2 linked regions of the Lytechinus pictus genome follow. The protein of the gene in region 2 purifies or fractionates together with the protein of the main gene of each other region. This does not show direct contact. Links are inferred from orthologs where the notes say so. Each region holds a gene or a part of one and is shown on either strand. Other genes may lie near its edges.

Evidence for each region.
Region 1: the proteins of FACT complex subunit SPT16-like (region 2) and DNA topoisomerase I, mitochondrial-like fractionate together in Homo sapiens (co-fractionation; 3 studies listed by BioGRID and IntAct, with this or other methods). This does not show direct contact. The link is inferred for Lytechinus pictus from reciprocal best matches to the Homo sapiens genes SUPT16H and TOP1.

What each region holds. Positions count from the first base shown.
Region 1 is NC_087246.1:63,386,428-63,403,384, forward strand, and holds the start of DNA topoisomerase I, mitochondrial-like, read left to right. Parts: upstream 1-7,951; 5' UTR 7,952-8,068; coding exon 8,069-8,077; intron 8,078-10,378; coding exon 10,379-10,400; intron 10,401-11,237; coding exon 11,238-11,868; intron 11,869-12,242; coding exon 12,243-12,312; intron 12,313-13,983; coding exon 13,984-14,111; intron 14,112-15,669; coding exon 15,670-15,799; intron 15,800-16,417; coding exon 16,418-16,587; intron 16,588-16,957. UniProt on the Homo sapiens protein: Releases the supercoiling and torsional tension of DNA introduced during the DNA replication and transcription by transiently cleaving and rejoining one strand of the DNA duplex.
Region 2 is NC_087246.1:61,408,185-61,425,350, reverse strand, and holds the start of FACT complex subunit SPT16-like, read left to right. Parts: upstream 1-8,488; 5' UTR 8,489-8,991; coding exon 8,992-9,060; intron 9,061-16,592; coding exon 16,593-16,691; intron 16,692-17,166. Other genes in the region: ATP-dependent RNA helicase DDX1-like, read right to left, coding at 413-499, 1,092-1,139, 1,970-2,063, 2,866-2,895, 3,859-3,922, 4,511-4,562, 6,712-6,727. UniProt on the Homo sapiens protein: Component of the FACT complex, a general chromatin factor that acts to reorganize nucleosomes. The FACT complex is involved in multiple processes that require DNA as a template such as mRNA elongation, DNA replication and DNA repair.

The sequences.
Region 1 (16,957 bases), about 2.0 Mb from region 2:
GAGCGGATCGAGGAAGTCTGCGTTCTTAGAATGCAAAATTTAACAAATTAAACCGAGTTTGACTGCACTTTATAAAAGAAATATTGTTTCTTTCTAGATAAAAGTGTGTGGGGGATGATTACGATGCCGTTGAAGGCCTATACTGGTTATGTTATTCTCCCTCTCCGGGGGGGGGGGGGCTGACAGCTGTAATGAGCCAAAAGTTTTGGGCTCGGTGTAAAAATGGCAGAGGTATATAAATGGCCAGTCTTAAACCCCCATGCCAAAAACCCCAAAGCCCCTCCATGTATACAGTAGATAAAATAAGAAAGGTTCTGAGAATAAAATTAGAGTTATAATGTTTGACTAATGGAAAGGGCAACATTTTTAAGTCATACTGTAGATTTTCTGCACCAAAATTGATAACACCTGAGTTGGTTTTTCTTAATTTATTCCTGGACTTACATGCACAACCTTCTCATGTCAAATCGCTCTTCTAATATTCAAATTTGAAGCACACTTTGGATCCCAAGTATTCTACTTAGTTCATTAAAGGGGAAAATTCACCCTGACATAAAATTCATTGTAAAAATAGCAAAAAATAATTAAAATGATATTGGTTAGGGTTTAAAGGAATTCATCAAAGATTTAAAAAGCTATTAGAATTTATATTTCAATGGTGATGTCATTTGCGAGCAGTTTTTTTTCCATATATGGTGTAATGAAAAGTATAAATGAAATGTCATTTTAAAAAATGAAAATGGTTTCTATTGTTTTTCAATTTTTTTTTATTTCAATTTATTTCATTTTCAACAGAACAAAGTAAAGTGGTCGAAATAATTTCAATGAACTTATATACAGACAATATAAATTGAGGCATGTACAATTTATTATATTTTTACATAAGTAAAACAAAACAAAGTATTTTAAATTAGCAAAATATCATTATAAAATAAAATTCTGAGAAAATGGAGGGATCCACTTAAAAGCAGTGCTTGTATTGTGTGGACCCCTCTAAATAATTATTGTAGTATACATACAAATCATTTCACATCCGCTCCTGAAAGACTGTTTAGCAGTCATGAACCACTGATTAAAAATTTGAAAAGTATACGGTATGGTGCACAAAATACAGGACAGCTGCTCGTATTATACGTATATGACGTCACAGATCAAAAACTCAAACTTCTAATAACTTTCTGAATGTTTGATGAGTTTTCCGTAAACCTTCACCAATAATTTTTTCTGCTATTTTTACAGTAAATCATTTGTCAGGGTGAATTTCCCTTTTAAAATAGGTCGATAGAATGGTACCTAAGAAAAGCCTATAAATTTGAAATAAAATCCTTGATTCGCTACACATTTCCAAATTCATGCGGTAACTGTTACCATAGAAACTAGTTTAGGAACCTGACATTCACTGGACTAGCTGCAATGAGGTATTGCTCTGAAAAATTGAACACTAATTGCTATTATTATATCATTTACATTAAACTTAACTCCTTAAAAAAAGTTTGGAAATATGACTTTGATCAATAATCCCTCCTCGGTTTTTGTAAATATCAATGTGTAAGAAATATTAATAAATAGATCATTAAATTCTCTTTAAAATGATACCCTACATGATATGATTATGGTTCACATGGAGGTGCAGTGCCTTGAAAAGTGGGGCAAGGTCAAAATTCAAAAGTTGCAAACTGACACAATATTGAAAGTCACTGTTCCTTTTTTCCTAGGTGATGAGTGAGTTTTCTCACCGGTTTCTTTTAATTGTTTACATGCACCTTATCACACCTCTGCATGAGCAAACACATAACAAACAAACAAACAAACATGCATGGGTATTTCAAACCACGACTCAAACCATGTTATCTCACAGAACCATCACTACATAAACCACAACAAAACATAAAAAATGAAGAAGCAGGGGCTTGATTTGAATGGATTTTCATCTCTATTGACACAGACAAAAGAATCATGTTCTGTATTGACCATTCATGACTATTTCTGCTCGTTTTGCAGCTTTTCAATTCAGACCTTATCCAACACTTTTGAATCCTGCTCTTTTCATGATGGCATGATCATAACAAGCATGGTATCATTTTAAAGAAAATTAAATGATCTTTTAAATGATATCAAATATGCAATGTGTAAAATTGGGAGTTGGGAGAAATTAATGGCCAAACTAAGATTTCCAAACTATTTTTTGCTCGTTTTGCAGCTTTCCAATTCAGACCTAATCCCCCTCATCCAACACTTTTGAATCCTGCTCTTTCCGTGATGGTATGATCATAACTAGCATGGTATCATTCTAAAGAGAATTAAATTATCTTTTGAATGATGTCAAATATGCATTGTGTAAAATTGGGAGTTGGGAGAAATTAATGGCCAAACTCAGATTTCCAAACTTTTTTTGAGGGGTTTATATACGTATCATATCAATATCTATTCGGATCCATTATGATGTTAAAATATAACAAATAACTTTTATTACAGATCGTTTTGTTATTTTTCTGTTATCCAAGTATTGCAAGTGGTTCGAAGAAATCCCGAACTTGTCTATTTCAGTGTGTTAATGGTAGCCAAGGGCGCCGGAAGCGGGGGGGGGGCACTTGCCCCCCCCCCTAAATAAAATTTTGATGGGGCAAAACGAGATTTTGCCCCCACCCCAATGTGCCCCCCTAAAAGTAGAAAAATGATAAATTATTTAAGGACAAAAGTAAATGATGAAGGCACTTTTCTGCCTAAAAATTGTCATTTCTATTGTCAAAAATGAAAAAATTTCGCCCCTGACGGGGCAATTACATATCATAAGTATAAGCCTTGCGTCTTTTGACGAACATGTCCCTCTGTGAAACATACCTTTGATAAGCCCCTTTTCCATCTTATCACAGTGTGATAACGTTTAAAGTGATTGGTTAACATTGGTTTGACTTTAAAAAATCTGAGCTAGAAGGTCACACTTGTCACCTGTGTCTGTGATATGTTACAAAAATGAAGCCCAGAAAAAATTGCGTTTGAAAATAATTAATTAGTGCTTCAAAAATTGAAATATAAAGTGACCGAAAACACCATCTTAATTTCATCCCATACACTTATGTGTACTATTTAGGCGTCTATAAGACGCCTATTTACAAAATCGGGGTTTGCCTTGTAATTTTAGCTTTTCATTCTCAATAATGGTTGTTTTCAGGGTTTATTAGTTCTAATACATGCACTTGTACACATGTTTCATCTTGGTTTGAGAATTTTTTAAATCGGCTGCTCACAAAGTTAAACAATACCTTTAACCTTTTAATGAATACATTTCAGACTAAAACCGAATGGCAAATTGAAAGTGGTTCACCAATGCGTGCTGGCTGTACGCGCGGTCGCCCACCCGGAAACGCTCAGACCGGACCCACTAACGCGCGTGAACGCTAGTTATACCCCCGTCACACTTATTCGGAATCAGCAGGAATCGGGCAGAACCAGCCGGAATGAAGAACTTTCAAAATTCGTGCCACATTCGGGAGGGAATTTGAAATTTTCGCTACTTTTGCAAAAATGTCGTTAAAATACTTAGAACGTCCTTTGATCCCGCCTCTAATGATTCTTGCACATTCGGGTGTATTGACTGTCGAATGCAGCTCGAATACAGTCGGAACACAGGAAGAATATTAAGAATGCTGTTAGAATGCAGCAAGAATATTTAGAATGCAGTCAGAGAGCAGTCAGAATGCACTTTGAATGTCGTTCGATATTTCTCCACTTCGGATGCACTTCGAAAGTTTTGAACATGAGCAAAACATTCGGGACGGTCACAAGAATGGACCCGAATGTCTGGAATGCACTCAGAATGCAGTCAGAATTTTTAGAATGCGCTTCGAATATCCAGGAATGTACCAAGAATTTTCATTCCGACGGCATTCCGGCTCATTCCGCCTCTAGTGTGACGGGGGTTTTACTCGAGCAACATATGGAATCTATGTCATAGGCCCTAGGCCTATAGCTGTCAAGCCCAGAAACCATAACATCTCAAGGTCGTCATACTCTAGTCTAGTCTCAATCTTCCAATTTCTCGCCTATCAATTTGTGTAGTTCTGAAAATGACTGTAAAACGGTATCAGGGGAGTGTTTCATCATGTCCATGGTTTCATCAATATTTTCACCGACAAGTTGTCAGATCTGACATCTTTCCATGATTTTGATTGGCTGGGAGGCACTGTTCCTATGGTAACTGTCGGATAAAACGTCCGACAAGTCCTTTCATGAAACGCCCCCCAGGACAACTACCCCCCGGACAATTACCCCCGGACAACTACCCCCGGACAATTACCCCCGGACAACTACCCCCCCGGACAATTACCCCCTAGACAAAGGGCAAATTTTTAAGTGCTCTGTTTAATGTCCGTTTTATGGTGTGAATATAACTTGCAGCTTGCGCTATGCGCTCGCATTATTTGATTTGCCAAATTATATAACAAACTACTTAAAACCCCCCTTTTATGACAGTTTACCAAAAATTTCGTCTCACGATTTGCGCTCGCATTTTTGTTAAAAATATATCAAGTCACAAATCCTATTCAAGATTACAAAAGTGCTTAAAATATCCAGTTTTCAGGCCTCAGTGTCAACACATTTTACTCACTCATTTAGGCTTATTACATTAATAAATATGATAATAACATTTTCATGAATTCTTAATGACTACATTGTCCCTTTTCAGAAAAGAATATCGACAATATCACAGTTTCATATGTTTCATATCGCGCTCAGGAAGAGGAATAAGAAAGTTGTCATCATTTTCATATGATGACGAAATGTCCTTAGACCTAGAATGTCCAGGTCCTAGGTCAAAATAATAATGAAGATATCAGCTCGCGCTTCACACTCGCATCATTTATTAAGTGCTTTCCACATCCACTTCACAATTTCCCTACACAATGCTTTAGATAGTACTCAAATTCACCATTTTCATACCGGAACATCAAGTATTTTCCGCTCGCGCTTCGCGCTCGCATTGCTTTTTCGATGAGATTAATATCTTGCTCAATATAGGCTGAAATGGAGCTTAAAATATCAAGTTTCGAAGTCAATACACATAACATATTTCATCTCGGATATCGAGCTTTCATTATTTTTAAATTTACAAATTGATTTTTCAAGTGCTCTGTAAAATGTCCGTTTTATGGTCTAAATATTAATATTTTCAGCTCACGCTGCTCGGTCGCATTATTTTATTTGCATAGGCCTACTTCTTTATAAATTCTTACAAACCGTCCTTAAAATGCACCTTAAACGAATTATATACTATCATGATTGCCAATTTGTATAGAAAAAACACTGTATTTGATTATGTCATATTGTTTACAATTTAGTAAATTTGGTACTTAATTTCCTTCTTTAATGTTTAATTGCTTTCACCCAAGAATAATACACACAAAAACATTTTGTAATTTACCAGGTGTTCTTGTGTGTATTATCTTTGCATAAAGTTTTTTAGCTTACTGTATTAAGTTATAAAGCCACATCTTAATCTGGAATGTGCACCAATTGTTTCATAATTCTTAACTTCTTGTTAGTTGAACTGTTTTAAAATAACAGATTTATAGGTCTACTTGACAGTGTTAGTGTTGATAGTTGTGTTATCGACTTTCAATATTTCTACCTATGAAGGTGTCTTTTTTACGTTTTATCTATTTGCCTGATTTCTTTCCTGAAATTAAACCCAAAATAAATATTTAAAAAAAATCAGATCAGTTGGAATCAGAGATATTCAGCATTTGTGATTATTATAACTAATCGTGTTCAATTGTTATATGAAAACTTAGAATGAGGGCCAGTTTACAAATTTTCTGATGTATATATGCATAGCCAAACGGGAGGTTTCGGGTGCGAGCCCCCCCCCCCCCCATTTTTCATGATGCAGAAGGCGCCGCTAAACAAAAACAAAAAAGGAAAAAAGAAGAAAGTGAGAGAACAGGAGAAAGAGCAATATAAAAGAGAAAGAAAAAGTTATTAACGTAAGGTAAAGTAGAAAATATTTCGGAAACCTGTGCCACCGACCAAAACTTACAATGGGTCCTGCTTAATTCTAAAATTGATGCTGGAGAGAAGGGGGGATTTTCTGAAGGTAATTGTCCGGGGGGTAGTTGTCCGGGGGGTAATTGTCCAGGGGGTAGTTGTCCGGGGGTAATTGTCCCGGGGGTAATTGTCCGGGGGTAGTTGTCCGGGGGGTAGTTGTCCGGGGGGTAGTTGTCCGGGGGTAGTTGTCCGGGGGGTAGTTGTCCGGGGGGGGGTAGTTGTCTGGGGGGTAGTTGTCCGGGGGGGGGGGGTAGTTGTCCGGGGAGGTAGTTGTCCGGGGGTACGTAGTTGTCCGGGGGTACGTAGTTGTCCGGGGGGTAGTTGTCCGGGGGTAATTGTCCGGGGGGTAATTGTCCTCGGGGGGTAGTTGTCCTCGGGGGGGGGGTAATTGTCCGGGGGGTAATTGTCCTCAGGGGGGAATTGTCCGGGGGGTAGTTTTCCGGGGGGTGATTGTCCAGGGGGTAGTTGTCCTAGAACCCTGTAAAACAGAAAAGGATAAAGAGTTAAAGAGGCTTGAGTTGTTGGATTATTGGATAAAATAATGTCGTCCGTGTATGTAAATGTACATAAATAAATGTTTCTGAAAGGATATTGCATGAAAAATGTAATTTCTGGTATTTTGAGTCAATATAAGCGTAATACGTAATTTAATTGATCAGACATGAAAACCACATTCCGAAGCGATCGTTTTGCGCGAAAGTTCTCATAAATTAATATTTAGTGAAATCTATGTTTAATTCTCAAGAAATTTATTTTTGAATGCTCTAATTATAGAAACGCAACTTTTATACTCCATTTTTACACAAAGTCGACCGTTGGGGGGGGTCCCACACCCTCTCCCGCTCGATCGCTTCGGTATCTCACGCTGTCAAAAATATTGTGCCCCCTTCCGAAGGGGGCACAATATTTTTGCCCCCCTAAAAGTGAAAGTGTTCCGGCACGCCTGATGCGTGGTAGCGCACATTTGGTGTTTACATTAAAATTCGTTTGGTAATATGTGATGAAGTGCTGTTCTACTCTACGAAATGGCCAAGATAAATCCTTTCATTACTCACTAATTGAAATCATTTTGGCATGACAATTGTTGAATTTAATCATATCAACGATAAAGCTGACCTAAAATGAATAAAAAATCTAAATAATATCTTATCAGTTCATAATGCTCATTCCGTCGATATATAGGAGTCCATTCAAGGCCAATGCATTATGACTGATATTAACTGGAAAGGCTCTGTCTTTTCCTTGTTGATGTAGCATATGTCATGATCTTTACCTCAGTCATTTTACCTCTGCCATTTTTACCTCTGCCATTATTACCTCTGCCATTTTACCTCTGCCATTTTTACCTCTGACAATATACCTCTGCCCCCCCCCCCGGGGGGGGGGGTACTCGACCAAAAAATTGGTAGGTGTGTGCCGCCGGCGAGACAAAAACCGGGGGCCTTGGAGCGGACTTATTGTAAAAAGGAGGGTCCTCGGAACGGGCTTTTGAACTACAAATGCTTGTGAAAACGGGGGTCCTTAATGGAACGGGTCATTTTTACCTATGCCATTTTTACCTCTGCCATTTATGCCTGGCACCAAGTTTTGAGGGGGCCATGCAGATATGGCGTATCGGGCAAAATGTATAAAAAGTTGCAAGTGAGCTAGCACAAATTTCGATATTTCAGTATTACAAATTATTATGATCGACTTTGACATTGGCCCTAAGTCAGAAAATATTTCACCCTTCCCTCTTTTTTTTTCTTGCATGGTCGTGTTTTTTTTTAACCCTAACCCTTCCCCTCCCCCTTAATCTCAACTGTACGCTAGCGTACTACTACATGATACATCTATTTTGAAAAGAAAACAAATATAGATGAACAAAGCAAGTTGAAACGAGTCGTTTCCAAGACTTGGCCGGATCATCCGGGCATTTTTTAGACCACGCGCATGCGCTCTGAAAAAAGTTCGATACTTAGCCATTTTTCTGCGATCCTCATCCGCCATAACGTGGAAATTGGTTAGACAAAGAATCACCAAAATGAGTTCGGTAAGTTCGCACATTTTACTCTATTTTGTGGTGTTAGTGTCATAGCGTGAATTGGAATATTAGTGTATGTGGATTGAGATGGTTTTTATGTGGAATCAGTGTGTTAATACGGCTGCCGCCTCTACATCACACATGTGTTAGTTTTTGTTCGAGGTCGAAAGGAACGCTTCGCCATTGAAATGCACACAGTTGTGCTTCGTACTTAGTTATTTTTGCGTTCGCCCTATATCATTGCACACAGGGCGATAAGCTCTCCGTACCGTACTTAGTAATTTTTTTGGCTTGCTCCATATGCTTTGTACATGAATGGCATGCGTGTGTATGGTGTGGTGTGTGCACGAAGTCGGCGGCTTGATCAACGTGACCGCTCTAATCTGTATGCCCGGTGTTTGGCCCATACGTCATTTGAGATGTTCCGCTTTTCACATGCTTTCTATGAACTGTACCAGTACCGGTACTGCACTGTGGAGTGGTGTGTGACGTAAATTTAAAGTGACATTCATGTCCAACTTGAAGATTTTAATTTGATGAATTCTAATGAATGTGAATAATATTTTTGAGTGCTGGTTGTGGTCTTCAAATATGAATGGTGAACCCATTACTGGCATTAGCATTACCATGTTGTTAAGTAAAAAACTTACCTTTTTTTAAAAGAAAGTCCTCAAATGAAATGGTGAAATTGAAAGAATTTAAAGATTTTATTTTATTTGTAACAGTTAAACAGTTCAAATTAAGTCTTCTTTTTACACTATTAAAGTTAGAATTTGGAGTCTTGGACTGGTAATGAATTAAGAATTGTTGACGTCTGATTGAAATCAATCACTGACCATTTTTTTTATGGAACAGATGTTGAGTTTGATTGTAAGTTTCTCAAATACATAGATCTATTCTACTACATGTACTACTACTAGATCTAGATCTGTCTTGTCAATTTCAAAATTTTTTTTTTTAATTTAAATATTATTTGCCTTTGCTTGATGGCTGATGTATTTTTTTTTTCCAATTATGGTTTTGTGACCTTAATTCGCGTGTTACAAATATACCTAATTTTGCGCACAGTCAAATATCTCAATATCTAATATCTTGAAAAACTGATATCAACAGCAACGGAAAGAGAGACCCAAAATCAGGGTTGGCAATTTTTTTTAATTAAAAAAAAAAATCAGATTTGTATGATTTAAATCAGATTTTTTTTTATTTAGGCCTACATAAAATAAGTCTAAATCAGATTTTTTTTTTTAACAATTTTTTTAAAAACAAAGTGCAAAAAATAAAAATACATTTCTAAAATCGTACATTTCACTACTAAAATTATTCTGAACTATTTAAAATTAAATCTAGTCAAAATAGATAAGAATATGTAAGTCGTAATGAAGATGCTGTTTTCAGCATCATCTCGTGTAGAGTATTTAGCTCCTACTGACTGGTAGTTGAGGAACCGTCTTCGTACAGCTATACTGCAAAGTTAGTGTTCCTATTCAAAACTCTTAACATGAAATGAGGATTAGTTTCTTTGGAAGAAACATTGCTACATTGCAAGATTAACTTCCATTTCATTTACTACTACTTGATTTCAAGTACGTAGATATGAAGGATTTATTCATGTTTTAATGATATAAAAAATCTGTCTATTTTGAGTAAAAAAAATCAAACTGGCACAAATAAAAAAAGTCATATCATTTGTACATGTTTCAATGGAAATCATGATTTAAAAATAAATAATTTCAACTTCTATCTGATACAAAATCTTACCTTTGTTCAGTTGATTTCTTTCTAAAGCTTTGCAAAACGATCATGCGCAAATTAAGGTCACACTTTTTTATGATAGTTTTTCAGCCGAGCGCATTAGTCGATCGCCATGGAATTTTCAGATCGCGATACCAGCAAAACCCTTGACCTACGGTACTTTATAATTCTGTCAAGTGAATTTGATCTTGCCTTCCATTTGGTATTTATTATTTTGATTAATTTTGTGTGAACTGAGAAATTTTTGATTGAAAATCAACTTTTTTAAATGTGCACAAATTATGGTTACCCTATCATATGTTTTATAATTTGGGGTTTTATTTTTAATTTATCTTTGACAAAACTGATAGAATTATAATTCATAAATTTGAATTATAACCTTAAATTTATAACCATTTGTTAGTCAGCAATCAACATGACTCACAATTAATTTCCAGAAAACCTTCACCTGAATTTTGTGGGGCCTGCATTCTTTTTATTTTTTTTTATTTTTTGCTAATTCCATGTATATTTGATATTTTTATTGTTTCCTTTGTTTTTATTTTCTTGTTACAGAAAGTGGACAAAATAAAGTCTGGTAAGTAAAAAAAGTATCATTTGTCCTTTGTTGATCATGAGAAAGTAACTTATAAATTATGAAATAAGACAATTTTATATACTGAATTTAAAATGATACCAATTTCATGACAATATATTTTGTTCATATGAGAACAAAACATGTGCATGTTTTTGCACATATATTATCTATGTTTAGCGTGTGCATGCTGTAAATTTTTATGGAGGCTAATTCCGTTATTATTTGTTGTAGAAGGTTGATCAAAGTATCAAATTGCTCAGAATTATCTTTTGATGCTTTGATCTGAAAAAAGTGGCAATTCTATGTTGTATAGTGCCGTTACGCACGCGCGCAATTTTTTGAAATGCTTAAAATGACATGATTCATACTCTACTTTGGTCAAAAAAGTGATTTTGAGCATTTTAAAATTTTGACGTGCGTGCATAACCTTTAAATGACCTTTGATGAAATGGACAGTTGACCCTTGACCTGAAGTTAATGTCATGAGAATATGGTTAATTTTTTATAATTGATAATGAAGATATGATTGATAATGTGATTTTACAAAATGGCATCATGATGACCTTTTGACCTTGAACTTGTTTTATAAACCTCACATGATAAGTCCCCATTACTGATGAAAATTTGAAGAAAATTGATGATGCAGATTTTGAGATTTTGTGCTATCAAGAAAAGGGCGGAAAAATAATATGTCGATCGACAGATCACCTAATTAGATTCTGAAGCTGACTTTGACAATGTAGTTAAAGAAGCAGACTGAATCATTCAAATCAGAAACTGCTTTCTTTGACCCATTCAACATTGAATTCATATTTTGTCGATTTTTTTTCCATTTAGACAACCATTCTAGCAGCAGCCCAGCCAAGAAACCATTATCAAATAGTCATAACACTTCCAGCTCGAAGCATAAAGACCCTAATGCCAAGCCCAGTTCCAAGTCGAAAGAAGGGGCCGTCAAGGTCATATTGCTCAGTGATGGCACCAAGATTAAAACAATGCCAGACGGGAGCAAGATCAAGGTTATGCCTGATGGCCGCAAGTTTAAGATGAAGCCTCCGACCTCATCCTCAGCCCCAAAGCAGAATAATAGTTCACATTCCAGCCGGCCGAATTCTGGATCCCCACCACCCAAACCGACATCAAATTCATCCAGACCAGATAAACCACCGCAGAAGCCATCGCACAATGATAGCATTAGCAAGTCAAAAGAAGACGGAAGGCCTAAAGAGGCACCCAAGCCGAGTAGCTCCAGTATGCGCCCAAAAGAGAAATTGGCCTCATCCAAAGACATCAACTCAAAGCATAAAGAGTTTTCTTCTTCAAAGCACAATTCCAAACATTCTTCTTCATCCAAGCCAAAGGTCGAGATCAAGAGGGAGAAGCCTGAGATAAAAGAAGAAGTTGCCAGTCCACCTAGAATTAAAGAAGAAATTAAGAGTCCTGAGAAACACATCAAGAAGGAAACAAGGTAGACTTGACCTTTTCATTTCCAGTTTATTTTTAATTTTGAATCATGAATTAGTTTTATAAAGAATCAAATTCTTGAATAAATGATATGTTGACATGGGACTTTGGACTTTTGTTGGGTATAAAGGATGAAGAGGTTTGGATTCAAGCAAGTTTTGTAGCCCTGAAGCCTATGGATTTTTGCTAGGTTTAAGGCATTATAGTTTAGGTATTTCAAGAAGTTAGAATTACTTCCTTGTGAGCGTTGGATACTATCCATATTTTTAAGCATCATGATATGCAACTCCAGCTAATTGAATACTTCTGAAATTGTATCAGTTTTGCCATTTATGAATGAACTGCAAAATTTTATCTCTTAAATCCTCATTCCATCAGCCCTGTGAAGTCTGTGAAAAAAGAATCTTTGAGTGAAGAAGATGGGGATGAAGATGAAGATGTACCTTTGGTAAGTTTAGAATATCTTTGGATTTGACTTTGCTATCTGTCTCAAAAAGTTGTTCAAAAATGTTTATCAGATAGTATTAAACAGATTACTCAACTGCTGCTTTTACTTTATAAAAAAGGCCCTTTTTTAAAACTCATGAACAATCTTACAATACAAGGAATGATTGGGCTTATGGCAGGTTTACCAGTGTGCACATCAATTTTTTAATTTCTTAATTTCTCTGCATTTAATTTAAATAAATTTGATCTTAGGATGGACTTTTCCATTCCACTAATTTACATGGATGTACTTTTCATCCGTTCATAATTTATTCATACCAATCTGCAAATATATTTACAGCATAGAATGATATGTGTAGTTATTATGAACTTATGATGACAATCAATTGATGGAGTTCATGTGAAGTTGAAGTGAAGCAAAGTAGCAGTAGCATTCCTACATGGACAGCCCAGATCAAAGTTCAAGTTGACTCTGACAAAGGATACATGTAATGCAGGCCGATGTACTTCTCTCCTGATATTTTTGTGGGATGTTACCTTTGATGTTAAAAATAAACCATTTTTGTAGCACCTGTACAAATTTAATTGATGTCTTATTGCAGTCCTTCACGTTTATAATTTCGTGGAGCTCTATAAATCGCTCTCCTTATTTTTCTGAGGAGCTCAATTGAGCTCCTCAGAATCGCTCTCCGTGAGGAGCTCAAATCAATTCATTACAATACATGTATGATAAATTGTAGATTTTTCTTAACATTGTATATATGCAGTAGCTGTGTTAGCTATTAATTAATCTGTGGTGAAACTAGGCCTGGGTCACGTCAATACGTTTACAAGATGTCGTATGCGCTACTGCTAAAAAAAAAATTTTTTTTTAAAATTGAAGAAAAAAAAAAAAAAAAAAAATTGCTAAAATTTTTCATTTTACATCTTTAAATCCATGAAATGGCCTTCTTTTTTCCATAATACCTTGAAATTACTTTGATTTAGTTGAAAACTATCAGAAAAATGAAGAATATTCACCTCTTTCCCGACTCTGATTTGAACTTACCTCGGTAAATATTGTAGTCCCACATGTAGACTTTCATGGTGCTGCCATGAAAATCTACATATGGGACTGCAAATATTTACCGAGTTTAAATTAAAATCAGAGTCGGGAAAGAGATGAATATTCTTAATTTTTCTGATAGTTTTCAACTAAATCAAAGTAATTTCAAGGAATTATGGAAAAAAGAAGACCATTTCATAGATTTAAAGATGTGAAATGTGAAATTTTAGCAATTTTTTTTTTCATTTTTCATTTTTTTTTTTTTTTTTAGGAGCGCGATTTTTTGCTCTCCTTATTTTTTTTAAGGAGCGCGGTAGGAGCGCCGGCGCGATCGCGCTCCTCAAAAATGAAGGTCTGTTATTGACTAGTCTTATGTCAACAAGTTCAGTCCCTTTTTTAGTGATTTTTTGCATAGTAGGCAAGAATTTTTTTTTTTTAAAGCTGGAAATTTTGAGGACTTATTTTCTTTATTTGTTTATTTGAAATATATTTGAGTTTTATTAATGAAACTTTACAAAATATATAAAAGTGTAGTTAAACCGATTAACTGAACCAAGGTTTTATATTGCTAGGACATTTCACTCTTGATTACAAATACATTTAGCCTTTACCTTTTCCATTTTACAGAACCAACGATTTGATGATAGCATCAAATCAGAACGCTCAGAGTCTAGGAGAGCAAGTAAGAGACCACATTATGCTGAAGACGATGAGGATGAAGATGAGGAGGATGATGATGTCCCCCTGTCGGAAAGGTAAGCTGGTCCTTGATTACCAAGTAGATTGCAGATAGATTGTTGTTCAGATCAGTCATCAAATCAACATCAAATCTTAACTTAAGGTTAAGTTTTTTAAATGACAGCATAACTTAGAAAGTATATAGACCTAGTTCATGAAACTTGGATATAAGGTTAATCAAGTATTACTGAACATTCTGCCTGAGTTTCAGGTCACATGACCAAGGTCAAAGGTCATTTAGGGTCAATGAACTTTGACCAAGTTGGGGGTACATGTATTTGTTGAATTACCATCATAACTTTGAAAGTTTATGGATCTGATTCATATAACTTGGACATAAGAGTAATCAAGTATCACTGAACATCCTGTGTGAGTTTCAGGTCACATGACCAAGGTCAAAGGTCATTTAAGGTCAATGAACTTTGACCATGTTGTGAGTATCTGTTGAATTACCATCATAATTCTGAAAGCGTATTGTTCTAGTTTATAAAACATTGTGATAAGAGTAATCAAGTATCACTGAACATCCTATGCGAGTTTCAGGTCACATGACCAATTCAAAGGTCATTTAAGGTCAATGATCTTTGGCCATGTGGGGGTATTTGTTGAATAACCATCATAACTCTGAAAGTGTATGGATCTAGTTCATAAAACTTGGACAGAAGAGTAATCAAAAGTAATCAAGTATCACTGAACATCTCGTGCGAGTTTCAGGTCACATGACCATAGTCAAAGGTCATTTAAGGTCAATGAACTTTGGCCATGTTGGAGGTAAATATTAAATTGCTGTCATAACTTTCAAAGTTTATGGATATAGTTTATGAAATGTGGACATAGGGGTAATCAAGTATCTCTGACAATTCTTAGGTCACATGATCAATGTCAAATATTATTTAGGGTCATTGAACATACATGTAGTATTGTATCATTATATGAATGGTGTTTTTTGTGAATAATTATTTCATAGTAGTTTTCAAAGTCCGCAGTGCTGCTATATTGAATCGCGTAATGCAGGTGAGACTGCCAGAGGCGCTCCACTTATTTATTGTTTAAAATATTCTAATTTTCTAAGGAGTGTCATATGGAACAAAATTTTATTCCTTCCTGAACATGTGGAATATCCATTTTTTAAATCATTTTGTAGTGAAATCAAGCAGGTCTTTATTGTCAAATCTGTAAAAAATGAAATATTGTATAATTCAAACAATAAAAACAAAAGAAAAAGTGAGTGATGTCATCAACTCTGTCATTCGTAAATATAACTGAGTTGTTCATATAATTATTTTGTGAAAAATAAATGAAAATTTAAGGTGTCAGAACTTTTTTATTTTACATCCGCTTTTGATGAAAATTTCTTGGTTTTGCTTGTTTGATTTTATTCTTATGATTAAATTTTTTTTTTTTTCTGTTGTGGACTTGACCTTAAGGTATTTCTATATATAAATATAAAAGTATAATTATTCATATATAAAACGTTTTTGTCTCACATGCATAGCAGAGCGAGACTATTGGCGCCACTTTTCAGACAGCGGCAGCAGCATAATTTGTCAAAATGATTTTTATGTTAATCTGCAGGAAAGGGTCTGCAAAGAAGGTAAAGCATGAAGAGCCTGTCAAGAAAAGTTCCAGCAAGAAAAGGAAGTACGAAGAGAGTGAGGAGGAGTATAGTGCAGGGGAAGAGGATGAAGATGATTACAAACCTTTGGTATGTAGAAATTTCATAACATTTTTTTCTTGAATGTCTTACTCTCACTCTTTTGGACTATCCTTGGGCCTGATTCATGAAGAGTCATAGCTATGGTAATGTTGCCACTATTGGAAGTCCCATGGTAACACAGCTCATCAACCAATCACAATCAAGGCAGTAAGTTGTTGGTCTTTGTGAAAAGGGCCGGAGATAAAAATTCTCTTTCAACGAGGCACATAATTTTCCTAATTTTTTTTTTTAATTAAATTTTTGGAAAAAGAATTTTCAGAATGATTACACAGGCCAAATATTCTTTAGAGGTGGAATAGTTTTCATAAGCACTAAATGTTGTACACAGAGTATATGTGACAATTTTGAATAAATAATTGTGAAATTGCGGAATCTCTTCCCCCCCCCCCCCTGGGCCCTTGAGGGTTAAAAGGATAAGCTTCAGTTGCCCTAGTGCTGAATCATAGATACTTACCTACATGAAATATGGAAATGAATTTCTCCTTGAAGAAAAGTTATGAATTAAATTTCATTTTTATCCTACAAGATTGTATTAATATACTATGTATACAATAATGCCACATTTCTTTTATATTCATATTTTTATAATTAATTAATTTCTGACAGGCCAAGCAAAAGAAACAAGAAAAATCCAAATCCAAGACGAAAATGAAAGACACCAAGTCAGCCAAAAAGGATAAAAAAAGTAAAAAGGGAAAGGGAGTTAAAGAAGAAGTGAAGGAGAAGAAAGGAGGAAGGAAAAAGAAAGAGGAAGAGCAACAAGAGGTTTGGGAATGGTAAGTGAAATGATGTGCATGATATTACAGGTTGAACATTATGGTTTGGAATTGGTGTATTGAGGGGCACATTATAAAGTTAATGCTATAGTTAATTTGCCATCTTTTAGTAACTACCATTGTAACAATGCTCAATAGCTTGTAAATATCACGGATCCCATGGACGTTACCTTATTTGATGGGAAAGTCACCATGTTAGTATATTTTATGCTACAAATCAGTCTAATCCCTCCTAATCTTCAGATGCAAAACTCTTGTATGAAAGGTAAGGATTCAAGTAAGCCCAACCTGTCTTGTCTCGATTGGTTGATTCCATGGCTTTGGGCTGTTTGGACTATGTTTCACTTTTCAATTTTTCGGTCCAAAGGAT
Region 2 (17,166 bases):
AGAGTTTTTGAATTTTTAAAATCTTTAATTTCTGACTTCATATGCAAGCAGCTTCCAAATAAATCATGTAATATAAATTCCATGTTTTTTTAAATGGAGCATGATGAATTAAAATTTTGCTTATAGAAAGTGGTATGAAGTAATGTCTCTGATGATATTTCCACCCAGCAAATGAAATCTCCACCCAGCAAATGAAATCACTTTCATTTTTTTAGAAAATGGCATTTTGGGGAATTTATATGAGATGAGAAGCTGCTTGTCTGTGATGTCAGAAAGTTCATAACTCTCATTATTTTTTGACAGATTTTCATCAAATATTCATTGATATTTTCTCTAATTTTTCTGCTCTGTAATAAGACCAACTTCCCTGTAAGAAACATTCTATATGAATTCAAGCTTTTACATTTCTTACCTTTACCACTGACACCCTTATTAGCCCTGGTACCATGCCATGATTGCATCTCTCGACTTTGACACAGCAAACCTTCTTTATCAATAGCTGTAAATGAAATAATGAAATAAATTTAATGAAAAATATGTAAGAATGTGTAATTTTAGTAGTTTCAACCCTTGGTTTTCAATCAGAGAGTCACAGATTCGAATCCCAGTCATGGAAGAAATGCATCCACCCCTTTGTGATATGCAGTTAACCAAGGTGTAGTAAATGGGTACCTGGCAGGAATATCCATTCCTTGAAATGACTGTGCGATTGGATGACAGCAAGTAAGGGTAATGATAGTACTTACCATCATGAGCACTCGCAGAGTAGACATGGTTGCTGTGTTTGTGTGTGTGTGCATTGTGTTCAGGTCTTCTTGCATATAGCCATGTGCATGCATGATAACAAGTACATTGGAAACGCAATAGTCGCTTTGACAAGGCCATTCACCAGTTTTATTAATAATTAATAAACAAATAATATTGAAGTTAGTCAGCACTTTATTTTGGGGTTCAAATTTGAATCATTAAAAAAAGGCAGCAGGTGTTACAAGGGCCGGTTGTGTTTGTAAAATAGTTTTGTATATAATGCTGCTTACAATACCTTTGACAATAAAGCATTGATGATAGAAATTAAAATTCAATTTTCTTACCCATTGCATCTCCTCTGTCATAAACATTCATCTTCCAAGAGCTGGATTCTAATAACAATCAAAAGAAAATATATTTGTAAATTAAACATCAATATATTTTGTGCTTGTTTTAAGGGTAATGCAAATAAAACAATAACACATTCCAAATAATTTTTTTTTCGTAGTTCTTAACCATAGGTATCATCGTCCATGGATACTAGATTGAGTAATTACACAGACAGAACAATTCACCACATCTTGAAATCACAACGTCCTGTAAAAAGAAAATTTATCAGACAAGCGGAGGATGATTTTCTGGTAAATTGCTGATTATTTTACACCCACTTCATATATGTTCTGTTTGGTCTACAGTACTACAAGGCAAATTCATCAATAACCAGTTTGTCTTCTTACCAAGGGAAGTGAGTGACGGCAAATGAAATTAGCTGAAATTGCAAAAGCTCCTACAACCTTTGTACAGATTAAGTACACAAAAACCTAAAAATAAGTTAAATTGAAGAAAAAAAATCTGAAATCTACTAAAAAAGATTAACTCTCAGACCCCTGTTACCATGCCTATTTACCATTTTGTCTAATTTCAAGTTGGGCTATACCCATGTTGGTTAATACCCACTTGGGTTGGGCCTAATAGTTTTCAAATTTTCAATTGAGAAAGTAAAATATAAGGATCCCATTCCACAGGATGGAGACCTTTGCAAGACCAATGAAAGACTAAACACTAGCAAAGTCTTCCAGCATTTTCCATGATCACTTATATTTGTGGTATCTGAGGAATGGCTCTGAAACCCCCTAAAAGAACTCTGAGAGAGTTATGGTATCAGACTATCTAAGAAACCAACTGTTTGTGGACCAAGTGATTATGACACTGATTTGCTTACCCATGCTAACAGAAGCAGTGGATTCCTTTGTCTTTCCTTCAGCCTTGTCTCTCAGTGTTTCATGGACAATTTGGATGACTGGTAGACAGAACGCCTAGTAGCAGGAGAATTAAAACACAAATAAGTAGACCTTGCATCTTTCATATTGGGGCCTACTCTATAAATATTGGTTACTTTGCCATCCAATGGTAAACAAATAATGAATGTTTATGAGTTCAATAGACAAATACAAATAATCCTTTCAAAGATGAGTAGCAGAGATGAATGGATCACTCATTTCATCTTTCACCGAATGAAGTACTCTGTCCATTGCACGAATGAAAAGAATATTCATTATTTGTTTTATATGCCATCTAAAAATAGATCCTTGTCATCTAAAATATATGAATTTGGATGCATAAGAGCATGCAGTGCAAGCATGGGCTGTTCAATTGTCGCATACACATGCAGCAAACGCGAGTGCTGGTGGTCTCGGAGAGCATGCAAAGGTCAAATCGTATGGATCCAAAATTGCAGGATTGATGATGTCATTGTAAAACGGGCTGAATGATCAATATCAACTTATCAAGTGACAGGGACCTATCTAGGTGTCATAATAACTCCTGTGGAATACTTTATACCATGGCCATGAAGAATAGCATCGCTTGAATTGGTAACTTACCCAGAATGCAAATTTTTGCATAACTTTGTACTAACAAGAGAAATAACAAATTGCAATACCCACTTAAATCTCTAACATTCATACCACAACCATGCTGCAAAGGGACTTGGATTACAGAATACCTCAAACCAAATCACTGTCCTTAAAGTAAGATGTGAGATCAATACAGGAAACAGCGGCATGAAAAATACAATTAAATCATGATGAAATTGACCGTCTACAAGTATTAGCTTACCCCAGTTTTTCCACTTCCAGTTTCAGCAGCCTATCGAATAAACAAGAGAAAAAGTGAAAATGTTTATACATCAAATCAAATAAGACAATTCAATCTTCAATGCAACAAGTCAGGTGTGGCAAGTAAAGGTACTCCTTGTTTTTGTTTATTGGGCACCCCTGAAAGCCTATATCAGACCTTACCCTGAAAACAGCACCAATAAGCAATCAAATCATAAAAAAATAAACATTTATTCAGAGTGTCATTGTTTTATTCCTAATAGAATTGAAATTTGTTTGATCTTTCCATATCTCTACATCAATCTTTTTAAAATGAATTCATCTTTTTATTCTTTTATCATTTTTATTAAAAGTATTCTTAATTTTTCATTAAACTGTTTGGGACCATGAATTATTCAAATCTTTACTTGATCAGCTTTTATTATCCAAATTGGCATTATTTTTTTTTCTTTTTACTTTCATTGCAGTTATAACTATCTTTCTTTTATATTGTTTATTTAGCCTTCCCAAATACATATGTGCATAAAAATTTGAAAATATCGCTAGAGGGTATTCATTTGTCTCGCAATCTACTATGGTCAACAAGGAAATTCGTGATCACTCTCACAAAAAGTGTTCACTAGCTTTCTAGGAAATTCGTGATCACTCTCGCAAAAAGTGTTCACTAGCTTACAAGTTCACGAATTTCCCAGAAAGCTAGTGAACACTTTTTGTGAGAGTGATCACGAATATCCTTGTTGACCATAGTAGATTGCGAGACAAATGAATACCCTCTAGCGATTATTTCAGTCCGCAATAATGAACCTATTTAGTATTTGAAAATATGTTTCAAAATGAGAAAATTGCCAATCTGCATACAGAGACAACGATTTTGCCACTCCCAATTAAGTTGCCAAGCAAATATTTTGATTTTTTAAATTACTTTTGGCACATAGGCATTTATCAATGTGATCCACCCCACCAAGGCTATGTTACTCTAAGGTTTCATTCATACCATAAGAACATCTCCACCCCCGAGGATGAGAGGAATGGCTTCAGCCTGAACATCAGTAGGCAACCTATGATGAAAAAAAAAAGAATAAAAAATACAATACTCAGCTGGAAATCCATCCTGAAATGAAATAGGGTTTTATTAAAATGAAAGTTAATTTGTCCAGAAAATATGATTCTCTATTTCATTTGTTTATTTACCGTTTGCACAATTCTTCATTTTTGTATCATTTCAAAGATCAGCCCCTCCTTTTAAAATAAAATATCAACATTCTTTTGTCCAGGGGTGGGGGGGTTAGGGTTTCCATTTTAAAGTTGTTTGTGAAGTTAATTCACAGCTTTACAAGTGATTCATGTCACAATTAAATATTTTTCTCAGTTGACATTTTTAATCTCATTTGCCAAAGTTGGCACGTATGGTAAATAAAAAATGAGAAGAATAAACAAGCATTTTCAACGTACAACAACAAAATTTGCCATAAAAGGTAACATTCTTGTATCAATATGTTTGGAATTTAAAAAAAAATCATGTTTATCACAATATCTCTGAGTCAGACCATTTCATTTAGGGCTTTATATTTTATCATTCAGAAAATAATAAAGTAAAAAAACTTTACAAATTATAGAGCCTGATGAATTTCCCCTAATATACTTACAGCCATCCCATTTCATCCACAGCCTGAGTGATCTCAGGGAGACAACCAAATTCTGAAGAAAAAAAAGACAAAGCCATGCTTGATAAGTTCTGGAATACAGAATGGTACTCTAACCCTTGGGAAATGACAGGACAAGAATGATTGTAAATATGCATTATGTACACTGGACACTGACATATGTATTAAACCTTGTAGATGAAAGAAAGAACTTGGATGGAATTAAGCTGGACCTGAAAAATACCTCCAGTAATAAGACAAATCAATTAGAATTTAGATGCAATATTGTACTTTTCTTGGCTTACCAGAATTCCAGTATTACTTATAAGAATATGATGATTCAACAAATGCATAAGTGTAATCTTAAGACTTCTCATGACTATAAGAAATTAAAAACATTCAAATCAAATGTGTGAAGTCAACTCTCACTCGATCTCAGGAGTCCCACCTGAGTCAGTGTGCATTGATATTCATGCATTGTTATTTTGGTTTTATTAATGCAGCCCTTTCATCTCAATCAAATAAGCTGGCGCTTGAGGCCTCTGGTATCACACTGCATTTGGCTAGACTTTCTTATGTCCCTCTAATAAAATTGTGCTTTCACAACATATTGCCACAGGGTGTCACTGCCAGCTAACTCCGCACTTGCAATGTTTTCTATGGCATGATTTCAATTTATTTGTGTATCTGCACAGGGTTAGATTTTGGATAATTAGGGTTAGGTTTTACGATGGACTTCGGCAGTTATTTGACATGGCCAAGTTTTCTCAGGTGTTGAGTTGACCTGGACCTGTGTCACAGACATGACAGACATGATTAATGTGCTCAAGGCTATGAATGAACTTCGGACACTAATACACATCATGCATTGGCCTGTGACCATTTAGATGGATTGCACCATCTTGTGTGTTGGCCGCTGATAAATGCCCCTTTTAAGATACGGACGCTTGCGTCGCGTAACGTTGGGGAAGAACAATAGAAAACAAGATGGCGGCGTAAACATCGGGCAAGTCTCTTCCGTCTATTCATGATATTTTCTTCATTTTTTTAAATGAATTCTTGTCTCGAAATAAAATCCATGGCGTAGAAATGTCGGAAATGAAGTTGTATCCCATGTACTAGACCAAAAGCTTCGGTCTCTGTTATGTTGGTTGTTCAGCTGAACTCCGTTGGCTTCATGCACTCACCAAATACAGAGACCGAAGTTCTAGCGCGATCTGTACAGGAGACTCAATGGCCATATGTTTATGTACTTAAGATCGGATAAAACGGGGAAGTGAATTTGCGCGACAGCCGAGGTAAGTCACTGTTTTTGTTCCTTTTAACTCGATTTTTCTCCGTTTCTTGGCAATTAATGCCAAGAGGGAATATCAATTTGCATTTTGGTCGCATTAATTTTCAAAATTTTTATTGATTAAAGACAAAAATTGAAGAGCCCCGATGGGGGGATTTTGCATTGCAAGTCCCCTAATGGTGGCTGCACGCTAGCGAGCCGTCTGTGTATGAGGAGAACTTAAAAAAAAAAATGTTAAAAAACTCCTCAAAACAGACGGCTGCCAGCTGTCTACCCATGTACATACATGATTTAGGGCTAGATCTTTTAGAAAGAAAGTAGAAATCTCGGGGGCGAAAGTTTCAGGTTTTTTGGTGGTACACACAAAAGTATAGGAAGGAAGACCTGGCTTCGTATGAGAGTAACCTTACGTTAGTAAATGATTTTTACTCTCTAGAAGCCTCCTGGCTACCCCCGCCCCCGGGTCTCCCAATATTGGCCGTACGCCTCAGTCTAACTTGTTACTGCTTAGCTTAGCTTAGTTTAGAGCCAAATTATAATAATGAACTAGTAGAAACTGACAGTGTTAAATAATCTGGCATTCATCCCTAAGCAAGAACAAGAGAAAAAACATAGCCTGCCATATTTCATCACTAAACAAAAAAACTGCCGAGCCCGAGGATCTCCGCGAAACTGCCCGGGCAGGGCCATGCGCTAGCGGTGCCAGCCCGGGTCTGGATGCCGTCGAGACTCGAGCGCCGGCCGTCGCGTCGGCGACAACGCGACACCCAGCTCACCCCTACCGGTACTTATCTCCGATTATTAATCATGATCAGCAATTGTTCCCTAACTGTAAGAGCCCAAATACATATCAAAATTATATATCCAGACAATGCAAACTAAAAAAAACCAATAAATTATATCGATCTACCTGCAAAGGCAGTCATTGTTCACGTGTTGGCGGAGCCGGAGTCAAAGTTGACGTTGAATGATCCTTCGCCATAGTGCAGGGGCCTGTTGCATGACGAGATGAGCGATACGTAGGAACGTCCTAGGACCATTCTTCCGAGATAGGAAGATTGGCGACAAATCAGCGCTTTCCGTTTCACGAAGGCAATTTTGTCTTTCAAGTCCGCGACATCGTTTGATATCGATAGTATCGGAAAAATATTTAGTCTTCATCGTCACCTGAACCTTTTATTTCGGAATGACGACTTGTCATAAAATCATATATTTCAATAAAAGGGGATCAAATAATGTTTTATTTATTACTGATTGTAGAATTGATGTATGGAGCGTACTTTATGAGGTAAAAAGAGAAAAAACTTTCAAGATTCACAAACATAACTGGATAAAATCGAAATTTTCATTATTTCACTTATTTAGAACACGGTGTCCTTTTAGAGACACCTTTCATTGATATTTCAACGAAAGAGACCCTTGTCCGACATAAAAATTGATTTAACTAAGTAATTTCGACATTTTATTAGTTCAATATACTGATTTATTATAGAAAACATATATATAATGATGATTTTGCAAATTATGCGTTAATATGTTATCTGTTGAGGTAAAAATAGGGTTTGAATGGAGTAAACAAAATCAACAGTGTCTGATTGTATGAGACTAAAAAGGAAAATATGAGAGGCTGCGTGTGAAAAATCTAATTTATTTATTTTATTTGTCAGATATAACGCAAGAAATACAAATGTGAGTGTTTAGAGTATAAACATACCTCAGTTGCATGATGAGTAACCGAAGACAAGGAAAATATGAAAATTGCTGCAAACATGTCCAAGTGGATAAAGTAGTGCTTTGCAATAACAATTAAAACATAGAAAAAGGTGTGCAATCCGCAATGGAAAAAATACTATTTACAGAAATAATGATAATATTACAATGATCATAAACGTTGGTAATCTTTAAAGTTGATCACTTAATTTATGGAAGCTTATATAAGAATAAGGTTTAAGAATATAAAAAATATATATGTTCAACATTTCAAAGTTGAGGAGTAGAGAATACATTATTGCTTTAACATTTTAGTAGGGGCCTAAAGGGGCCTACTCAAAGGGCCTACCCTAAAGTGAAAACGCGCCTCTTTGTATGGACTCATTTCCATAATCTTTTCTTTAATGAACTAGCTTATCTTCATTTGTAATTATTGTGATGGATTCGTAAGCTATAGGCCTAATCTCTATCTTAAATTCAATTAGGTATTTTGTTACTGCAGATTTTTTGTTTTGTTTCACTGTTTCAGTACATCTCAAGTTAAGCCCAAATCCGACAATTTATTTTCATTGATTAAAATTAATCTCAGCAAAAAAAAAATCATAATGAAAATGAAATAAAAATAAATGAATGATTTACCATGTTAAACATTTTAGTTTTGTATCTTTTTTTTTTGCTGAACGTTATAAACACGTTTTTTACCTTACATAATTTCTTTTAAAGAAATTTGTTTTCATGTTGTTTAATTATCTGTAATGAGAAAGCATGAGGGGTTAGAGAGATAGTGCCGCCCATTTCGATATTTCAAAAAAAAAATAATGGAAATGGTGTGGGGATAGGACGGACCATAAAAGAAAAAAATATTGGGGCCTACATTACCCCCGGACATATAAAGCCCGGAGAAGTTAAAATGACATCTGTTTTTGGTCGTCTTGCCGTGCAAAAAGACGACCTGCAATTAATGACAACTAGCCCCCATATAAAAAATAACTTGGCGCCATCCCAGATAAAATGCATCAGTGTGCAACCCAAAAAAATGTTTAAAGGTGATATGTCAGTGTGGCTTGCCGTAAACGCATTTTCTCTCAATGCCGACGGTGGCGGGCGGTGTGCAAAGAAGATCATGCCTACGTAGGACATGTCTGGAGGTGTCTTTCCAAGGACCATTCTTCGTATCGCCCAAATCGGCTTTGTGAAACAGTTGAGCGATATCTCGTTCTTACGTAGAATGGTTCTACGAAAGACCATTTCATGCAACAGGCCCCAGTAGCACGTCACTGAGCTAGCTGAGCTAGCGCTAGCTGACAAGACTGTCATCAATATTGGCTGTAGGTGGCGCGCTAGCAATTTTGGCGCGCTACACTTTTTGGATGCACGCACATTACATGATCAAAGGATTCTTTCAGGAAGAATTTTTCTTTTGCGAGGATTTGTAGGAAAATTTTCATTTCATACTCTGTTAAGCAGATGTTGTGCTAGTATGGCGAACATTGCGGTCGATAAAGATGCATTCTACCGGCGAATGAAGAAAATATACGATGAATGGGAGGTATGTTCATGGACATTCATTTTCTAATTTTAATTTTTAACTTGAAATTAGAAGGCCATTACCATGCCTTAGTGTGCTATTTTTTGTGTACACAAAGTGAATTGGGCATATCACGTTTCCTTGAAATTGAATAGAGGCTTTACTTCAATCATAACCTGGCAATTAACTCATAGCAAAATCTCCATACCAGTCACATTTGAAGAATTACATAATAAATTACAATTCACTGACTGTCATTCCCTTGTCTGTTGTCACGACGTCAGAGCAGTGTGTGTGTACTGTGACCTAGTCCTAGAGTAGAGGCTGTGTCTGTGTCTGTGACAGTGTCTGTGTTGAGACGCAGGGCCAGGGTGACCAGACGTCCCGTATTTCCCGGGATCGTCTCGTATTTCCCGGGATCGTCCCGTATTTCCCCCTGTTTCCCTTCGTCCCGCCAAACCCTTCTCGGGATGCCTGTTTGTCCTGTATTTCAGAATATTGAACAAAGTATAATTAATCATGTTATACATAGAAAAGTGAAGAATATTCATCAAATAACCAAACAGATGATGAAGCAGAGATAACGATAAAATCGATAACTGTTAACTTTTGCAAGTTCTACAGTGATTTTCTTGCTACCCAATAGCACTCACACGTATTGCGAGGTTAGTATTAAGTATACTAACCTCGCACCACGAACCGCGTTTGGCAGTGGATTTCTAACTAGTGGGTCGCGTGTGCTGGGATCTCACTTCTTGGGTCCACAACACACGACTTCTATGGCTTGATTTTTCTGTGCGCGGCAGCATGTAATGAACCCTTGGGTGACCCAATAGTAATACATTGCAAACGAACTGGCCTGCCTGTGTGTGGCAGGCTACTATAGCTAGGCATGTTGGATCGGAGCAGATTCTCAATGGTGCAAATAAATCTCACATGATAAACAGTTTTTCCACCAAAATAATCACAAAATCGGCAGCAAATTTGTATAATTATATTATGGATTCTCAGATTACTGATTTCGTGATGTAATCGGAGGAGAAAATTATTGAGTTTTCATAACTAGATCTAGTTTTTTCAGTTTTCGTTTTGAGTCTTTTTGTGATCGGTGCGAACTTGTAATGGGATGAGATCATGAGAGATGCCTGAGGTGATGCTGTGAAGTTTGACAATGTTTTATTTTGAATTCTATTCATTTCTAAAACATTTTAGTTTTTAAATTTTTTTTTAAAATATATCATTTAAAAACCCAAAATATTAGATTTTTGTTAAAATGATTGGATTTTTTTGTTTGCTTGAAGTTTGAACTTTTCCCTTTTTTTTTCTTCATTTTTCTTTCTTTTCTATCCTTTCTTCACCCTTCTATCCTTCCTTTTTGCCTTTTTTGTTCCATCTATCTTTATTCCCAATCTTTCCTATCTTTTTCTGATCCTTTCTCTCTCTCTGTTCATTTGTCTTTCCTTCTTTCTCTTACTTTCCTAGTTTCCTTCTTTTTTAAAGTTCCTTATTTTTATTTCCTTCATTCTTTCTTTCCTTAAACTTTTCTTTGCTTCCTTCTATGCCTTCCTCCCCTTTTTCTTTTTGTTCTTTCTCTCCTTCCATTATTTTCTATCTTTTTTCATTCTCTCATCTTTTCAATCTTTCCTCCCTCTCTTTAATTCATCCTTTCTTTCTTTCATTCTTTATTTTATTTTTCCCTTCCAATTCTTTTCCCTTATTCTTTCTTTCCTCCCCTCCTGATTTCTTCTTCCATTGTTTCTTTCTTTCAAAGAATGAAGGAAACATTTTTCTTTCCTTCATTCTTTAATTCTTCCTCCTTTGTCTTACTTTCATTTTTCCTTTGATCTTTATTTTTTTTCACACATTAATTCCCTTTCTTTCTTTTTCTTTCTTTCTTTATTCATTTCAAAGAACGACGGAAACCTTTTTTCTTTCTTTTATTCTTTCTTTAATCCTTCTCTTATTCTAACTTTCTTTCTTTTAATTTTTTTCTTGTTTCCTTAATTTTCTTTACTTCATTTTCTCTTTCATTTTTTTCTTTCTTTCCTCTCAGTTAATCTCTTTTCTTTCTCTCCTTCATTCTTTCATTCACCCTCCCTTCCTTTTCTTTGTATTTTTTTTGCAAGTCTAACACTGTGTAGCCTTATTTGTTGATTTTTAAAAATTATTATTATGACCTGGCTCTTGTCGATTCGCTTGTGCAGCGTGCTTTGTCGATTGTTCCGTATTTCATTTTGTGAAATCTGGTCACCCTGTTGAGACGTGTTCTCAAAGTCAAACTTGAGTGAAAAGTCATGCCTGGTCCTGGGACTCTTGCATGTCTTGGCTGTCATTTGACGGTTCATCAAGTCATGGACTTGGAGCCTGGGCTGTGGCTGTGCTATCTAGAAAAACTACTCTGTAAAAATTAACATTGGCGGCCGGGGCCTTGGCTTAGGCATGAGCTTTGCCACATCACATGTTTGTGATTGTGAGCAGTGTCAGTGTGATTCACCTGTTTCTAACAGTAACACAGTGTTTTACCCAATCCTGTGTGTTTAGAGTATAAACATACCTGTGCATGAAAAGTAACCGAAGACAAGCAAAATATGAAATTGCTGCAAACATGTCAAGTGGGTAAAGTAGTGCTTTGCAATTATAAAACATAGAAAAATGTGTGAAATCAATCCTCCATGGAAAAAATACTATTTACAGAATCAATGTTAAAATGACATTGGTTAAGGTTGATAGCTTTAAGGAAGTTTATATAAGAACATAATGCTTCAAGAATATTTAAAAAAATATATGTTCAACATTTCAAAGTTAAGGAGTTGAGACGTACTTTATTGCCTTAACGTGACATAGGGCCTACCCTACGATTAAAATGCACCTTTTCGTATGGACTTTCCATAACCTTTTCTTTTATAGATACAATGAACTTATCTTCATTTGTAATGATTGTGATGGATTCGTAAGCTATAGGCCTAATCTAAATTCAATTAGCTATTTTTTTTACCGCAGTTTTTTTTTTGTTTCGAGTTCCAACAATTCCAACAATTTTCATTGATTAAAATTAATATCAGCAAAATATAAAAAATAATGATAATGAAAATGAATTAAGAAATAAATAAATGATTTAGCATGTTTAGTAACATCTTAGTTTTGTTATGTGTTTTTTTTTTGCTGAACGTTGTAATCATGTTTTCTTTACTATACATAATTTATTTATAAAAAAATTTGTTTTCATGTTGTTTATCTAATGATAAAGCATGAGGGGTCAGAGAGATTGCCTCCCATTTCAATATTTCATGTTTGGTTGAAAAAAAAACTGGAAAAGGGGTGGGGGAAAAGAGGGAGAAAATAAAAGAAAACATACCAAACAAAATTATTTGGGCCTACATGTAGATTACCCCGGAAAAGTTAAAATGACATCCGTTTTGGGTTGTCTTGCCATGCAAGACAACCTGAAATTGATGACAGCCCACATGGCGCCATCCCAGATAAAATGAATCAGAGTGCACTCAAAATCTCGAATGACCCCCCCCCAAAATGTTTAAAGATGATAGGTTGCTTGCCTCAAACGTATTTTCTCACAATGCCGATGATGGCGGGTGGTGTGCAAAGATTAAGAAGATCATGCCTACATAGGACATGTCTAGAGGTGTCTTTCCAAGGACCATTCTTTATATTGCCCAAAATCGGCTTTGTGAAACAGTTGAGCGATATCTCGTTCTTACGTAGAGCGGTACTACAAAACACCATTTCATGAAACAGGCCCCAGTAGATCTAACTTAAATCTACTCTAAAGAATATAAAGTTAAAGGAGAATGAAACTCTTGGAGCAAGTTAGCTTTTGTGAAAGCAGAATAATCAAAGAATAAGATCAACAAAAGTTTGAGTAAAATAGGACTAGCAATAGAAGAGTTATGAGCATTCGAATGTCGAGATCACTAATGCTATGGAGATCCTCCCATTGGCAATGCGACCAAGATCTATGATGTCACAGATGAACAACTCTCCCCTTTTGGACACTGAAAATGTACCCCAAAACATCTCTTTTTGCTCATTCTAATCATATGACAAACGATTCTTCAATGATATAATGTTGTGAAACCTCTGTACTTGTCCTCTCATAAAGAGGACACCTCACCTTGTGAAAGACTCTATAAAAGTGAGAATATAAGTAAAATAAGAACTAAAGTAATGAGGGAGTTGTACGTGTGTGACATCACAGATCTTGGTCTCATTGCCAATGAAAGGATCTACATGGCATTAGTGATCTCAATATTCAAATGCTCATAACTTTCTTATTATTCATTCAATCTTCCTCAAACTTTCAACAATATGTTTCTTTGATTTTTCACTTTGATATGGATCCAGCTGGTTTCAAGGGTTTCATTCTCCTTTAATGGTAATACTGTAACGTTAGACCTACAGGCACGCTGCACAGCCAGTGAATTGATAATAATAATGCAAACGTATTAGATCTAGATCTAATGACTAACAGTTAACAGGCCTGCCAACCCAACCAGTACGATTTTCCCGTATTGAGTACAATTTTTTGATTATTTACGGGCATACGATTTTTCTGTATTTTAATACGATTTTTCAAGTTAAAAGATATATATATTTTACGTTTAAAAAAAAAGGGTATTTGCGATTTTTGGCGTTCCATACTATAAAGCTCATTGGCACTGGCATAGATCGGAACTTCCACAAACTCACACGCTAATCGCCCACTCAGTCCCTGACGCCGCAAACAAACGGTCTGCTGCCATTTTGTGTCATAAAAACATGTGGCTGCTGTAATTGTTTTTCCAACATTATGTACATGGCTATGCATTGTGGGGTAGCAAGATGGCGGATAATGGTGATTGAGGTACGCACAATATCCATTCGAGTAGATAAGACTTTGGTGGTTGAAAGGGCGAAGCGTGAGTGCTGGCCTGGCTTAACACTTTGTGTTGTTTGCGGCTCATGTGTGTGGTGCATTTCATGGCGGTGTTTGCTTGAACTCTCAATATTTTCATCTCCGATAATGGATTCATACCAAAGAAAACGGAGAGTAACAGTGGCGATTCCTCTGAACCATCCAAAAAGATGGAGAATGAGCAGCAGTGATAAGTAAGTTTGTCAAAATGCAAACTCCCGGCCCAGTGGATTAGGCACTTGGGGATGTGCCTGCTAGTGCCTGGCCGGCCACTGCCTGCCCTGATGATCGCGCTGCACTGGTTCCGCGGCCGTGTTGTGCATAATGGAGTCTAGCGTTAGGCTAGCTACGCGTACGCTAGGCCCGTTTTGAAAGTCCATTTTTTATGCACGTGTACACGGCGTGTTTTTCGGTCGTGTACACGTTGTAAACAATGAGAGCGAGTTGTTTTCAGTGTTTCCGACATGTCGTCACGGACCCGCATCAACATGTCAATGTAACTTAAAAAGGGGTCTATATAGCCTAAGTCACGGTTTTGAAGCTTACCTGGGAAGTTATAGAAGTATCAATCCACAAAAATTGGTGCAATTAAAGAGTTTACTCAGCTTAGCAGCGCATTAAATTAATAAAGAATGCAAAAGAAAATCAGTGCAGGGCCCTAGCTAGCGCCGACGTTCGTTGGATGCGCATTTTGTATACTGTACCGTACATAAGTACATGCATGCACAGATCGCTGCAGAATTAAGTGTAACTGAAGTTATCGATTGATTTTCATTATTTTATGTGTACGAGTGTATAACACGTAACTGTAGCAGTGATCGCTGTTGTAATTGGTGATTCTCAAATTGGCTCTGAGTGTGATTGAGCAACGCTTTCGAGCTTTCGAGACCAGAGCAGACCCATTTCGTGGTACAAAAACTTGAGTCTCCAGAATGAATGTGGATTAAATCGGCGCTCTAGGTTAATTGAAATATATTGACATATCAGTGATTAAAACGTGTCCAGTGTCTGAGAACTAAGAATTAATGTGAGGCTGTGAGTAACTTAGCTGTGAGCTTGTTCACTGACTTTACAGTCCCATGCAAGCTTTATGCAGATGCTACCGTGTACACGGTGATGGAATTTAGTACACGTGCACTGACTTGACCGTGCGTGTACACGTGTACCCGAAACGGGCCTAGCGTACGCTAATATTTTGTTCAATGTTTCCTAATTTTTTTCAACCCAAATGAGAGTAAACAGTGTGAAAACGAAAGGATGGAGCGATCTGATGATGTGGAGCACAATCTTTTTTAAGGCAGTACTTGGTTTACTCTTCAGAATATTTTATTAAGATTTTGAAATGTCTTAACTTTGAAAGTAAAAAAGTTAGACTCTATATGGATCTGGTTCATGAAACTGGGACATTAGAGTAATCAATTATCAGTGATAATTTTGCATTTATATGAGTTTCAGGCCATCTGATTAAGGTCAAAGGTTATTTTAAGGTCAATTTTGAACATAATATTTTTATTGTATGATTTTATTATTATTTTTTTATTGGCATGTGTGGAGGAAATGGCCCCTTTTTAGCTTTAAAAAAAGTCCCTACCGTGGGAAGGGAGGACAATCCCCCCTTTGCGCGTTCGGCGCATTTTTTTTCTCTTTTAAGTACAGTTTTTTTGGGGAAAATGCAGTTTTTTTTTATCACAGAATACAATTTTTCATTCCCAGAGGTTGGCAGGTCTGAGTTAAACCTATTTTCAATAAAACTTTTAGAGACAATTTCCAATCCCAGTCATGCCAGTTTTTTTTGAATTTTTTGTTTGTTTGCATTTTTGCTGACAAGTTAAAGCTAAAAAACCCAATGCATTTCATTGGCAGCAATTGAAATTGCGATTAGCAGATTTCTCTTATGACCCACTTTCAAATTTCAATAGTATAGACCAGGGTTGGGCTCAATTACAAGGTAATTGATCAATAATGTAATTAATTACAAGTTTTTGAGTAATTATAATTGTACTTGAAATTTTGAAAGGGAAAGTAATTGTAATTGAAAAAAATATACATGTAAATGACTTAAATTACTGTCAACTTTTAATTACAATCAATTACTTTACAATAAACTTACTTCATTTATGATTTAATGTCATGCCCTTTTTCATGTCAACTGCTTCAGCATCAAAGAGTGTAATAGGCACAATCTGTGCTCTTAAACATAAACTTTCCTCTTGTCAGTCTCTCTTTAACTTCGAATTATGTCGAAATAGGTGTTGCTAGTACATGTATACAGAATACAAAATTGATGTTATTTATGACTTTTATAGAAATGTTAAAAGTAATTGAAATTGTAATTGTACTTGACAAAAGTAATTGGTAATTCATTGTAATTGAAAAAAAAAATGATTTGATTGAAAAGTATTTGTAATTGAACATTTCTTCAATTACATAATTGTAATTGAAGAAAGTAATTGAGCCCAACCCTGGTCTAGACCTATCACCTAGGGCTAGGCCCTAATCTTTTTTGTTCAATTCCAAATACTGAACAAAGACATGAAAATTGATGTCTGTCCTCAGACTGACACATAGCTTTAGTTACAGAAAATTCCAGTCAAGTCCGAGATAGGAAATTCTAAAATGTTTTTTTTTTAATCATATCTCTTAGAATGAAGCAGAGAATAGCAAGCTGCACTCCTTGGATGCTATCGCTTCAGCGGTTGGTGTTGATGAGGATATAGTGTATGCAAAGTCAACTGCTCTTCAGGTAATTCCATCTTATTTATAATCAATTATGTCAGTTTAAAGCAATCTGTCATGAATTCATTCCGAAATATGATGCAGGGATCATATTTATCTGTTTAAAAAATATTTTATCTTCAAAATACTTTTTTTCTGTACAACTTCAGTAATCAGGCCTTAAATTGGAATTCAATATACGGCCGGGGTTTATTGTATTTTACTGTGGAGCACACTTCTTAATTACAGCAAAATGGGAATATGAAAGAGACACATCAAATGTCCAAGGCTGATGAGATGGACATCATCATCCCGGCAATGCTGAATGGTTTTGAAAGTGGATGGGGGGGGGGGGGGGTCCTATGTAGGAAATCACAATCAGATAGTATTTTATATGTTTTTGAACATGCTTAAAAAATAGGGCTCAGCCCCCCCCCCCCTCCTGGTTCTGGGGCTCCTGTCATCATCATCATTTCCACCAACATCATCTTTCGCTGATGTGG